Linked DNA regions of Caenorhabditis elegans. The protein of the gene in region 2 interacts with the protein of the main gene of each other region in a pairwise test. Each region holds a gene or a part of one and is shown on either strand. Other genes may lie near its edges.

Evidence for each region. Proteins that work in one complex are often made in the same cells at the same time.
Region 1: the proteins of moe-3 (region 2) and ceh-21 interact in a two-hybrid assay, tested with the Caenorhabditis elegans proteins (one large-scale study listed by BioGRID).

Annotation. Positions count from the first base shown.
Region 1 is NC_003284.9:1,848,240-1,854,722, forward strand, and holds ceh-21 (Homeobox protein ceh-21), read right to left. Parts: upstream 4,498-6,483; coding exon 4,438-4,497; intron 4,307-4,437; coding exon 3,895-4,306; intron 3,780-3,894; coding exon 3,683-3,779; intron 3,487-3,682; coding exon 3,324-3,486; intron 3,275-3,323; coding exon 2,838-3,274; intron 2,131-2,837; coding exon 1,812-2,130; 3' UTR 1,006-1,811; intron 832-1,005; 3' UTR 540-831; downstream 1-539. Other genes in the region: ceh-41 (Homeobox domain-containing protein), read right to left, coding at 1-157, 392-436; T26C11.9 (uncharacterized protein), read right to left, coding at 4,702-4,859, 4,908-5,028; Homeobox protein ceh-39, read right to left, coding at 6,166-6,421. UniProt on the Caenorhabditis elegans protein: Probable DNA-binding regulatory protein involved in cell-fate specification.
Region 2 is NC_003280.10:13,159,902-13,167,529, forward strand, and holds moe-3 (CCCH-type zinc finger protein moe-3), read right to left. Parts: upstream 5,833-7,628; 5' UTR 5,755-5,832; coding exon 5,738-5,754; intron 4,321-5,737; coding exon 4,099-4,320; intron 3,557-4,098; coding exon 3,449-3,556; intron 3,124-3,448; coding exon 2,980-3,123; intron 2,712-2,979; coding exon 2,564-2,711; intron 2,282-2,563; coding exon 2,092-2,281; intron 2,022-2,091; coding exon 1,872-2,021; intron 894-1,871; coding exon 769-893; 3' UTR 514-768; downstream 1-513. Other genes in the region: F32A11.1 (Mitochondrial import inner membrane translocase subunit Tim21), read left to right, coding at 15-194. UniProt on the Caenorhabditis elegans protein: Zinc-finger protein that may play a role in oocyte maturation and fertility.

The DNA.
Region 1 (6,483 bases), on a different chromosome or scaffold from region 2:
CGTTTCCATGAGGATCCTCCACGCCTTTAAGAGCCATTTGAGGCAGATAGTCCGGGCCATATATAAGCAGTGCAATGTTATGGGCCTGTGAGACGTCGGCCCGAAGAATGATGCCACTCATTGTTTTCTGCGAGCCAAATGGCAAGTCAACTTTTTTCTGAAAATGTGAAGTTTATAACATTCACATTGCTTTGGAGAAAGGTTAGAGTTTTCTCATTAAGCACATACTTTATATAATCACAATTCTGATGCTTGTTAGAGCTCACATTGTTTTTTTGATTCAGGATATTTTTGTTAAGATGAAAAAATTAGAAAAGAAAACATTTTGACAATATTAATTTACACGAAATCTTGCAAGAACTTTCCAGAAAATAATGATAAAATGACTCACTTCAGGATCGCAAGAGGTTGGTCCTGAAACAAAATGCTGGGACATCTGAAATTATGATAATGGAAATAAAATACAAATAGATAAAATATAAAGATAAGGACGCCGTGCTTAAGAACACTGTTCGAAAAAAAGAAAAAAAACCCAATTGTTACAAGTGTTTTCAAATATTTATTAATTTGGAGGAGTTGAATAGATAAATTGGGAATCAGAATTGGGGGAGCACCAAAATTATTGAGATTATCTATTTATGGCTGCTCCAACGCCTCGACTCTAACGGTGGCATTCCACCAAGTATGTCTTCCAATTATTGTTCCGATAAGCTTGGTGATTTCTGGATTCTGTTCCAGCCGCGGTACACGTACATTTTGGTTGTGTTGAACTTATCGCCAATTTAACTCATTCCAATGACGCCTTGATGACATCACATCAGAAGCCGTATCCTAAAAACGAAAAAATTAAATATTTGACTTTCTGAGCACATTTTTCATTGAATGTGGAGTTCACAAGACCTAGATGAAAATGATTTTGAACACCCACCAGTCAAAAAATTGATTGTAAAAAAGGTTGTAGAGCTCACAAGCTCAACTATTGATAAAATTCGAAGAAACACTTACCTAACGGAATTTTGACTTCCAAAAAGAGCTCCAACGAAACGGGTCGTTTTGACTCGAATTTTGAAGTCAGTGCCTTCGGAAAAAAAACACGAAGCATTGGAAAAAACCATTGCGAGAGTACAGGAGCCATATTTGATGCTGCATTGAGCTCCAATCAACAATTTTTTGCAAATGCTCGGTTGCCAAAAAGTGGTCCCGAAAAAATCTCAAAGTTCAAGAGAATATTCTAAAAATCCTAAATAATTTTAGGCCAGAGGTGAGAGGATAACCACCGGTGTGCAAATGTGTGGCAGCGAGTATCACAAAGTGCATTTCCTCTGCGTCTCTTGCCGTCACCTCCAAAAATCTATGAAATGCAAAAGGTGCCTACATTTTGTGAGATAATACCAGCGGAGCAATGTTTTTTATCAGATCACGGCAAAAATCATAACAGTGAGCATTGGGGAGGAAGAGTGTAATAATTTGATATGGGCTAGGTTGAGAATCTGGAAATGGTTGGATGGAATGCTTGAGCTGGAATGCTTGAGCTGGAACGGTCAAAAACGTGATAAGACAATAAAAAGAGAAAAGACAACAAGAGAGTAGATCAATTTTTAGCTTTTTGGATTATTGAGATTATTGATATTAGGAGTATAACTAATCTATACTGTGCTCAACAAAATTTCAGAATAACGCAAAGAGATGGATAGTAGAAAAGGGGTAAAACCTGTGAGAGAACTTCAAAAATGACACACAACAACATAAAATCCCCATGACGGCGTAACACACGTTAAAAATTTCAGCTTGAAAAGAGGCATCAAGAACACCTACAGGTGGCTGGGTCCTGGTTGGTTGCTCGCGTCGGTCGCGTCGGCGATGACATTCTCAACGACAACGTCTTCCTCGTCGAGCTCATCCTCGGTGTCGGCTCCGTTTCCTGTCGAGCGAGACGAGCGACTGATTTGCTGGTCAATGCGAAGACGACGGCGCGAGTTCATGAAAAAGTTGCCGACTGTGGAGAAGTCGAGCTCCAAGGTAGCACTCAACTTTTGACGCATTTCACGAGTTGGACGATGATTTTGTTGAAAGGATTTCTGAAGGGACTTGAGCTGGGTCTCCGTGAACGTGAGGCGAATGACTTTTACGCTGAAAAAAAAAACGGTTGGTAAAGTGGATTGTAAAGTGGAAACATTTGAGCCAAGAGAGACTGGTAAATTGACAACATATTTTGCTCAATTCTTTAAAATTTCAGAACTGCCATTTGAGCATAAAAAAAAGCCAGTGAACAAGGATTTACAGGCTCTCCGGATTAGGGGGATAAAGCTTCAGGATTCGGCCTAAAAAGTTTAGGACTTGCGCTTAAAATTTCAGGCCCATGCACTTAAGCTTAAGCCATTAGGCTAAGACTTTTAGACTCGAACACTCAGGCTCAGGCGTAGGCCAACAGGATTAGGCCCTCAAGCGTAGGCCCTCAAGCGTAGGCCCTCAGGCTTAGGCCCTCAAGCGTAGGCCCTCAGGCGTAGGCCCTCAGGCTTAGGCCCACGGCCTAGGCCCACAAGCTTAGGCCATCAGGCTTAGGCCCTCAGGCGTTGGCCCTCAGGCTTAAGCCCTCAGGCGTAGGCCCTCAGGCGAAGGCCCTCAGGATTAGCCCCTAAAATCCGGAGCTTAGGCTTAAGCACTTGGGCTTACCTACTTCGCTGCTACTACTATTTCTGGTCTGATTCATTTTTTAGGAAGCTGTTCCTTAGCGCCAAGGAAAAGTTGCAAGGCATTTAAAATCTGTTCAATAGTTTTTTTTATGAGCAAAACGTGTTGTCAATTCACGAGCCAATTAGGAAGAAAAGAAAACTCACGTTTTTTTACGCTTTGCTGGAGTTGGCTCATCCAACCCGGTAATTCGCGCAACATCTTCTTTCGGCAAAAAGCACAACGCACGGCGAACGTCTGGATCCAAACCAAGCCAGTTTGACATACGCTGAAACGTGGCACGACCATTCTTCATGACACTCCACGGCTTTGGCATTCGAAGCAAATCCGACAGTGTTCCTTGACTTCTGGCAAGAATTTTCTCGGCAAGTGCAGTCTGTGGAATGCAGCGCTCTTTGAGCTCGCTCAAAATACGTCGAGCAATGTCGACAGTGTCGAGCTCTTCGTCATCGCCAATTTGCGCGTTCATTTGAGCAGAGAGGTCTCCGATTTGAACTCCATCCCAGACACAGACTTCACCACCTGGTTTTGGAGTTGCTGAGCTCTGCTTCTTGGGCGCCAACTCCTCGAGCTTTGGTGTTTCCTAAATATTAGAAAATGTCAGACTTGTTGCAAACAAATTCGCAACTCACTGTGGCTCTTCCCTTTTTAGCCGTGTAGTCCGGAGACGATACTGTAGAGGTCGACGACACCGACGAGCCGCAAGTTGAAGAAGCTCTGACAGTCGTCGACGATTGTCGCTTGGTTGCAGCCTTGCTCTGTTCCGGAGTGGTTCTGATTTTTGGAGCGCACTGACTGAAAAAAATTATTGAGCATGTTCCAGAGTTGGAGCCCGCTCCCATCTAGTCCTGGCTGGGCTTTATTTGGTCGTTTTAAGCTTTCTGTGCAGCTTCTCAGATTTTTGCTTACGTCAAGGTTTCAAAGCTAGAAATTCATATCAAAGATGTTGCTCCTTTACTGTTTTTAAAGTATTGCGTCGAAAGCTACTCACCTTTTTGTTCCAGGAACTTCCTTTTCCTGGGATTTTGAAGAGGCGCGAGAAGAATTGCCGGTGGTTTGCACAGTCTTTTGGGACTCGAGAAGCTTCCCTGAAATTTAGAATTAAACATGAAAGATGCTCCCTGTATTTGTATTTGTCATTTTAGGTTTTGTTCTAGGAAACTACTAATACTACTACAACTGCAAAAAACTGTTCCGACTCACGCTTCAGTCTTGTAGACTCCCTTCGTGACGACTGTGGAGCCTCGTCTTCTTTCTCTTCGTGATCTTCTTCAGTCTCATTTTCCACAGACTTCAAGCTTCTTGTCAGCCTCTTGCTGGTCCCATCTCCATCAGAACTTTTGTCGCTTTTCTCTTCGAGTTGCTCAGTAACAGTTGCAGAAACTCCCGGCTCCATTGTCGACTCCGCAGTGTGATCTTCTAAGACAACCGACTCTAGTTGAGCATCAAGCTCCGCATAATTCCTTTCCGGCGGCACCACTTGTTGTGGGTAGTTGTGGCCGTACAAGAGCAACGCAATGTTGAGGGCTTGTGATGCGTCCTTGTCCAGAGTGATGCCGAACAACGTTCGCAGAGTACTGTACGGCAGATCTTCGCGTAGATCTTCGTGTTCGGTCTGAAAATCATAACGTGCTCCAAAATGGAACTTGGAATTGGGCAAGTTTCAAAAACTCAGGTTCTAGAAAAGGAGAAGCCTTCTTAAAAACATTCAAAGCAATTTCTGCGCTTCAAATTTCAATAACTCACTTTGAACTCGCGTAGGCTGGCAGACCCGGTTCCTGATGAAGCTTGAAATTGCTGAGACATCTAAAAAATATTATGGTAAAAATACAATGCAAAATATATACAAGATAAAAAAGCCGTGCTTAATAACACTAGTTGAAGAAAAAAAAGTTTGAAGATAATGATTAGTTGGGTTTGCAAATTTTTTATATTCTTTTATGATTCAAGAGGGATTTAGAAAACTGGTGGAAAAAATGGGGACAAGCATGTTTTGGAAATCCAATCGTCTCATTGGTGTGTGAGCTCTCTTGTAGATTCCTCACATTCCTCAAGTCGTCTGTGGATTCTATCAGATTCAGCGTCGCCACGGAGCAAACTGTCGGCTTTCCACGATCCAAGAGATCCAAGACTACAAAGACCATGGCATTGGTATAGCCAAGTGTGATCTGAAAACCAAGAAATTGAAAAGGAATTCTTAACCTACATATACTCACCGCTCAGAAAAAATAATAACTGAAGATCCACGCTAGCTGCCTGATGGTATCCGTATTGTGTTGAGGTACGTGCTGGAAGTTCTGCCAACCATGATACTTTTCCGAACAGCAACGGCAACATCGCATCTCGTGAAATCAGGCGCCGGCCAGTTTTCGGCAAGAGTGCTCTGAACAAGACTCCGATCCTTTTGTCGTAGGTTCCTAACGATTAGGTGTTGCTCTCAACAGGAGATGTTCAGCTTCTGATGGGTGTGATTGCTGCCAACTTTTTTCGGATCCGTTGCGTGATGTGCTGGCCGGTATCTGAAAAATAAAAAATTGGATTACCTAAGTCTCGCTCCATTGTTGAGCTCAAATGTTCCTAAAATACTTACCGCTTGGAATTCCACCAAAAGACTCTCCAGCTAATCCCTTTGACCATAAAAGTGCAAGATTTGAACTTGAAACCAGTGTCTTTGGAGTAGTGAAGAAAAAATCCGGAAAAACTCATTGCAAGTCTTCTCTGGTTGATTAATTCCGTTCCAAATTCAAAATTGTACTACCTGAATAGCAGATAAATCCTAAAATATACCCCAAAATACCGGCCTTTCAGAATGGCCTAACAAGAGACCAATGAGATCTTAGGCCACCACATGTGTGAATACCTCTGCGTCTCTCGTCGGCTAACCCCCAAAAATCAATGGTATGCAAAAGTGGCCAAAAGTGCCCAAAATGTGCAGCAAAATTCCAGCGGGGTGATTTTTATATAAGAAAACACCAATAATCATAACAATCAACGCTAAAGAGAAAGTGACAATGTGAAATATTTTGAACTGAGCATCTGAAAAATGTGTTATGGCTGAAATGTTATGGCTGGATTGGGATCGGTCACAAAATTGATAAGGCAATGAAGAGGTATGGGAATTGGATGGGGAATTAATACAATTAACAATTAAAACAATCAAGGATTTTATATTAAACAGAACGATAGTAGTCAATTTTTTTTTTGGGATTTTTGGAATTTTTCAATTTTTTTGGAGGTTTTTGGATTTTTTGTTAATATTAAACTTATAAAATTATTGAAATTAGGAAATTACTGTACATTGTACACAATTCAAACACACGTTCATGCTAAAACACGAACAAATTTAAGCGGTGAATGGGGGACCTGTGAGACTGTGAGCTTGAAAAATGACACGCAAAAACTAAAAATCACCCATAAAATAGCGTACACCGTATTGAGTGATGGTTTGGCAGACTACATCTATTGCTAGCGCTTTTAATAATGGTGGCTGGGTCCCGGTTGATTGTGATCAATGGCGTGTTCGGCGACAAGGTTTTGACTGACCGGTGCAGCTTTTGGAAGACGACGGCGGGCGTTCATAAAGAAATTGCCGACGGTGGAACGGTTGAGCTTCAATGTCGCACTCAGAGCCTGTTGCATTTCGCGATTCGGACGATCTTGTTGTTGGAAGACTGTATGCAACGAGTCGAGCTGGGTTTGCGTGAATGTGAAGCGTCGGATTCGTTCGTCGCTGAAAATAATTAATTTATTTGTTTATAATTCTTCGAATTCTTGACTCAAAGCTTAATCCGA
Region 2 (7,628 bases):
CAGTTTTTATTCAGGTTCTGCTCTACAACGTGACAAAAGACGTGATTCTCTACGGAGTGAAGTTGACTCAACAGACCTATTACGTAGTCTTGGCGATTGCTGCTCACATGCAAAATGGCTATCGACGATTCGCGTCAGGAGTGGACCGGCTCACGGACAAGTACAACAAGGTCCGCCAACGGATCGGAAAGTGAGCAGCTGTGCGGAGCATCTCGATCGAAAATACTCACTTATTCCTTCAAATTTTTTTTTTGCAAAAAGTCCCCGTTCAATTGTACATTTGCCTGTTTCAGAATTGTTCACACGACTTTCTAGATGCCTTTTCTTTTTGATTTTCGTAGTCAGTATGCATCAATTTCGTTTTTCCCGTCTCTTTTTTGCTCCATATTCCGGTTTTATTCCGTTTCTCCCTCCCAAAAAAAAAGAAAAGAACCAACCTCATCCAAAATTTTTAGAGAAAGAAGCTTAGGATTTTGCGCTTTTTGCAACGTGTATTATCCCTTGTGTGAAATAAAATTAAAACTTTATTTAGGGGGAGCAATAAAAATAATTAATATTAGGAGATAAAAAATTTTCAAAAAAAGAAGCGAAAAAAATATTAGTGAGATGTGTATCAGGTGGTCCCATTTTTATTATAAATTTAAAAATCTTTAAAAAAAAGGATTTAGGACCACTTGCTACTCAAATATTATTAGTAACTAATCGTTGAACAATACTCACAGACAAGGAAGACAAACAAATTTCAAATTAAAAAAAAACTGAAAAATGTCACCACAATTCAAGATGTTTAGCCATATCCTCTGCAAGATGGTCGAATCCTGGAATTGATGACATATTATCATCGTCTTGTTGGAAATTGGAAGGCACTGGAGGAAAGGCTGCTCTCCGTTTTGCTGAAAATTCGGAATTTTTTAATTTTAAATTGAAATTTGTGTTTTTTCCACGAAAAAAAAAACCATTATTGATCTTTCAAATTTGCGAGTGAAATATGACGCTTTGTGTCGGTGTTTGCACAGTATTCGGATTCTGTGGTTCACTGCACCTAGTACCTCGTATTTGACGCGCAAGTTTGAGAAATTCAAGCTCACAAGTTTTTTCAAGAAAAATTACAAATTTCACACAAAAATGGGGGAATAATTTATTACGGGAACACAGAATTCGGAGAATGCGTATTGCACAACATATTTGACGCGCAAAATATCTCGCAGCGAAAACTACAGTAATCCTTTAAATGACTACTGTAGCGCTCGATTTTCGAAATGAATTTCTTTTCAAAAATCTAGAGCCCTGCACAGCCTCCTGGAAATGACCCAACAAGGGGGCTTGCGCGTTTCTCGTGAGCGTGGGAAAATTTTACCGTTGAAAAGTGATTTCCTTCAGTTTTCACGGGTTTAAAATCGATTTCAAACTTTTTAATTACGTATCAATTGTAAAGCTAATTAAGGGCAAGGTGGAAAAAAAAAGATTTTTGATTTTGGTTCAAAAATAAAAGCGCTGATATAAAAAGAAAAAACCGCTAAAAATTGAGTTTTTCTCATATTTCGTATATTTTTCATCATTTTTCTAGTGGAATTTGATGTTCATTTGAAAAGTAATCTTCCACCAAAGCTTATGTTATGAAAAATATGAAGAAAAACAGTAAATTGAACGTTTTCGGAAATTTCTCAATTTTGCACGCGATGCACGAGAAGTGCGCCAACAAACCAAAATTTCCACTGGAGGAGACTGTGCCCTGTAAATCGACACAAGCGCTGCAGTAGTCATTTAGAGAATTACTGTAGTTTTCGCTACGAGATACTTTGCGCGTCAAATATGTTGCGCAATACGCATTCTCAGAATTTTGTGTTCCCGTAATATCCCATAAATCTAACCTGTCACAAAATGTGGTTGAATTCCCGTGGAGCCGTTGGGAAATGGCGTCTCAAATGGGCTCATCAAATTATTATTATTGATTGAAGACATTTCGGGTGGCAAGAAAAAGGACGAAGATTCCAACGGCCAGCTAGGGTGAGGACGCGTGGCTGAAAAAAAAATTTCAAGGAATTTATTGAAACTTGTTTTTTTTCTAAAAAATTATTTTAAAAAACTCACTTTCACAATTCATCTGAGCCATTGGAGAACGCATATGACTGGAGTCAGAACTCGATTTCATCGGTGAAGATTGCATTTCTAGACCGCCCATCGGTGGCGGCTGTTGATTATACGAGTTTCTCGTATTTCCTGTCATAATCTGTGATTCCACGTGATCCCGTAAATCTGCGAGTGCGTGGCGCTGCGAGACCTGAAAATTGGAGTTTTTGAATAATTACAGGAATTTGCGATTTTTGCGGCATAGGTACGGTACTTGGTCTCGACGCGAAATATTTTTGTTGGTGAAGCAAATATACAATAAGGTGTGCGCCTTTAAAGAATAGTGTAGTTTCAAAATCTAGTAAAAATTGTCGTGTCGAGACCGGGTACCGCAATTTTGGGCAAAAAATCCAAAATTTCTAGTCTAGATAATACATTTTAGTTTCAAAAGATAGCCGACTTGAATTTTCTAGGCCACCTCTCCATCACTAACCTCATAAAGCTTATCAGCTCTGATATATGCATTTGGCTGATTATCGGGATGAATAAAAAGACACCGTTTGCCATAGGGGCATAGTCCAGTGGTAGTGTACTTGTCACAAAGTTTCGTCTTGTACTTGTTGTTTTGTCGTGATTCCAGTCTGAAAATATTCAGGGTTTTTGCGCGTCAAATTTCAGGCAAAGCGGCAAATTGCAGGAGTTGAAATTTCCGGCAAATCGGTAAACTGCCGGAATTGAAATTTCCGGCAAATCGGCAAATTGCCGGAATAGAAATTCCGGCAAATCGATAAAATTCCGGAATTGAATTTTTCCGAAAATCGGCAAATTGCCGGAATTGAAATTTCCGGCAAATCGGCAAATTGTCCACCCCTGCGCCAAAAGTTATGCGCAAAAATTTTGAAAACTCACTTCGCCGGGCGCAGCTCTTCCTCTCCATGTGCAAATCGGCAATTTTCAGCAAAAGTGCATGTTTTCGACTCGAGCCATGCCTGACAAATGACCGTCTTGTAAGATTCGGGCTTTTGCATCCGCCGTTCGCCGCGAGGGGGGCGTCTGGAAAATGTAATTATTAGGAGAAACTCTAAAAATGGTTTTTTTTTGTGGAAATTTTCCACTACTTTGACACCTTACATCTTAGTTATTTTAAGCGCTATGAAAGCATTTTCAACTACAAAAATATTTATCACATTATCAGCTACATTAGTGCAGTTAAAAACTTTTTGATATCACAAAAAATAGTTTAGATACATGCGTTGAAACTTGGTACGTTATCTTTGAATTTTTTCAATGGTTTTTGATTTGGTTTTTTCACATTTTTTCCAAATCAAAAAGATTTTGAATTTCTTTTGGTTTAACAATTTGAATAATTAAAACTCACTGTGGAAACCCGTGATGTGGTGATATCGAATTCGCTACAAATGGCTGATCGACTGGATTTGAGGAGTATCTGAGTGCTCGCATCTGGTTCGTCTGGATTTGCTTGTTTCTGAAAAACAGTGTTTGGTGTTTAGGTTTCAAACATAGCTTCTTGCCCAAATTTGGCACAAAAAAGTTAACTTGGGCAACAGTTGGGCAAGACATTTAGGCCCAAAGTTTAACCGAAATTTGGCCCAATTCTGCTTTCGGCAATTTCGGCAACTGCCAAATTTGCCGATTGCAGAAAACTCCCGAAACCGGCAATCGTCAGAATTGCCGGTTTTCGGAAATCAGAACTGCCGGACCTTAAACATGCACTTTAATGAACTTTTTTTTTTTCAAGCTCAAAGTAATGTAATTTTTGAACCGGCTATTGTCAAAATTGCCAATTGCCGAAAATATCCAAAACCTGCAGTTTCCGATTGCCGAGAATTTCTAAAACTGGCAAATGCAGAAATTGCCAATATTGCCGATAATTTCTAAAACCGGCAATTGCACAGAATTGCCAAATGCCGAAAATTTCCAAAACCGGCAATTGCCGAAATTCCAAGTTAATTTTTTCGGGCAAAACTTGCGCAAGAAACTGGAGCCAAGCAACAAAATAAAACTAACTCTGCAATTTCCTTTCTCAATTGCTCATTCACCGCAATCAGGTTAGCAGTTTCAAAAAGCAACGAGTTCAACTGAGTAGTAGGACTCGGTGGCCCACTCTGCGATGATGATCCTTGACTATGACTAGGTGATGAAGCATGAACTCCCGATGAGAATACACCACTGTCAGCTGAACCAGTTGACATGGACGATGGTGGACGCTTGTCAGACTTTTCGAGATCTCTGGAAAATAAATAAGTTGTGGGTATGAAATAATCCAAAAAAGTTGGGATGGGGAGGGGAGGAAGTATCATTATTGCCAGTTTTTGGCGTTGTCACTGTTCTGTCCACTATATCTCGGCTGATAAAACCGTTCGAGTGATAACGAACAGGATATTTATTTATCTCTTCTGTTCACAAATAGTGCACTTAATCTCACTAGTTAGACTTATCAAGCTTTTTCAAAATTACAGCTTTAGCTGTAAAAAATGTGACACGTAAAATATAGTGCATCAATAATTTCAATTAAACCTTTTAACAAATTGCACAAAAACTGATTTAATATCAATTATGAAAATTTTATTTAAAATTTTGCTTTGACTTTTAAAATTAAAAATTTCTAAAAATTGCACATTTTCAAATTGCTCCAGCTTACACTTTTGAAGGGAATTTTTTGTGGTAATAAAATTATTAATTAGATATACATATTCTTGACAAGAATATATAGCCATGTCACAATGGAACACCAACTGAATAAGTTATGAACTTTTTTAAAACTTTTTTTTAATAAATGGAGGTTTCAACTAAACTTTTAAGGAAGCTTTAATATATATTTTAAAGTGTTTTCAGCAAGGATAATATTCAGAACAAATATTTTTGAAAGCTTTACGCGTTTGGAATTAAACAAAAAAAAACAAAGTCAAATTTTCTGTGTAGGCACAAAATCATACACTTTTTAATCAAGTTTTTAAGCATTTTTTTAGAACTTCAGATTTTCTGTCCCTATGCACTATGCATATAGGCATGTAGGCACAAAAAACCTACGTGCCTACTTCCCTACCTATTAACTAGACAAATTCTTCATCTATTTCTTATGTTTTCATATTTCTTTAATAATTAGTCGATATATATGTACAGAGGCGGCCAATTGCCGTTCGGCAATTTTTTTGTCGGCACATTTTTTTTGACGGAGATTTTCAATTCCGGTAATTTGCCGGTTTGTCGCTTGCCGGATATCAGATTTGCCGAAAATGTTTAAAGGGATTTTTTTATAAGACGAAAACACTTAAAACCTTGATTTTTTGATGCGTGCAATTTTGTCTATTAAAATTGAAATTCCGAAATTTCCAACAAAAAAACCGTGCAAAACCACAATTTGCCGGAAATTTTCGACAATTGCCGATTTGCCGGAATTTTTCATTTCCGGCAGAAATGTTTATTATTTCCGCGATTTTCTTTAGATATTTTCATAGAATTTGCTTACTTTTTAAAATAGTCGTAGTATTTTGCCGATTAAAATTTAAATTCTAAAATTTCCAAAAAGCTTTCAAAGCCGTTTTTCCGGCAAATTCGGCAAATTCAGCAATTCGCCGGTTTGCCGATTTGCCGGAAATTTGTATTTTAGCCTCGAAAATTCTAAAAGTATCGTCAAAAATCTCACCCTTTCACCTTGCTCATCGTGCGCCTTCCCTGACTTGATTAAATATGTAAAAAATCTGAAAAACGGGATGAATGTGTCGCGGTCAGCCAATACCCCTGAAAACTGTGAAATTCGTGAAAAACACGGCGGGCACAAAAATTTCAGGGTCAGTTGCGGATAAACGAGAATGAGAGAACAGTGAAAATGAGAGAAGATTAAACATAACTATGACACACAAAATATTTGATATTTGAAGAGGTTATGTACTTAGAGGGGAAGTTGAAATGAACTGAAATTTGAAAGTAAAAAACACGGTCTGAAAATAAGGCGAGAGATCGAGAGACGCAGAGAAGCGAAGAACCGGTCTCGAGAAATGACAATTCATGTGATGGTGATAAGAACAAAAAAGAATTGTGAGCAGTCTATTACACAAGATACGAGGGGTTCGACATGGACTTAACAGCTGATTTTTATTCATGTGTCCGCTAGTTCGGAGGGGGCATGTGATTGCGATCAGTTGATTGGAGATCATTGGATCAGGGGGTATATCAGTTAAAAGTAATAGAACAGGGAGAAACATGATTTTAAAATCCAGTATTTTCAAAATTCTGCGATGCTCCCTACAAAAACCCCAGTTGAAAGAACTTTAAGATGTTTAGGAGCCCTATAAAATATAAAATTACCCAGTTGCGGAGTTTTCTGCTTTTTGACACAAAAATAAATGCGATAGAATCAGGGCTGGGCGGCAATTGCGGTTCGGCAAATTGATTTGTCGACAAATTCGACAAATCGGCAAATTGCCGGTTTGCCGATTTACCGGAAATTTTCATTTTCGGCAAATTGCCGATTTGCCGTTTGCCGGATATCAGATTTGCCGGAAATGTCTAGAGGGATTATTTACAGGACGTAAACACTTAAAACTGTGCCATTTTGAATTTTTCCCGTTTTTTCTAGTTATTTTAACAGAATTTGCTTACTTATTGAAATAAATGTAGGAATATTCATAGGATGTGCTTAATTCGGCTGTCTGAAATTGAAGTTCTGAAATTTCCAAAAAAAAAAGGGCAAAAAATTTTTGGCAAATTCTGCAAATCGTCAATTTGCCGGTTTGCCGGAAATTTCCAATTTCGGCAATTTGCCGGTTTGCCGATTTGCCGGATCGTTTGCTGCCCACCCCTGGTACGGATTACGAAACAACTTGAAATTTGCAGTTACCGCACCTACAAGTGATTCGAAATTGTCTTGCCTGTTTTTGACACTATTTAAAACTCAGAAGCTTCAATTTTTTGGAAAATTTTGCAAACACATAAAATATCGAATAATTGTTCAAAATACATATCAGAATACTTGCGGGTACTGTGGCTGTGGTCGTGTAAAATATGCATTGTCTCTACAAAAATTTTTTGATGTTTTTGTGTCCAAAAATTCTAAAAAATGAGCTAGCGTGGCATTTTCTCCCAATATTTGTCATTAAAATTGAAAAAAAAATACATATAACTATATTTGCTTTGTCAGACATTAACTTGTATTTTAAATATTTAAAACAACTGAATCCAGATTGAAAACATGCACCAAAATTGTCGGTAAGTTGAAAATTGTCGGAATAAAATTCGACGAACATTTTTGAGAATTTTCAGTTTCTCCAAATCAAGTGAAAACTATATTTTTGCCTACCTCAAACCTACGCCTTATAAGACACAAGTTTTGAAGGTTTTGATCCAAACTAAAAACTATGGATCAGCTGTTCCTGAGCTCAAATTTGAAGCTAGAGCCTAAAAAGACACAATTGATTTGCAATGTAGGAACGCTTGGCACAAATTTAAATATTAGATGAAGCTCAGAAAAATGTGATTCTAAATTGTTAAGGGAAAATGAAGAAGCCAAACTGGAAGATTAGGCAATCGAAGGGGAA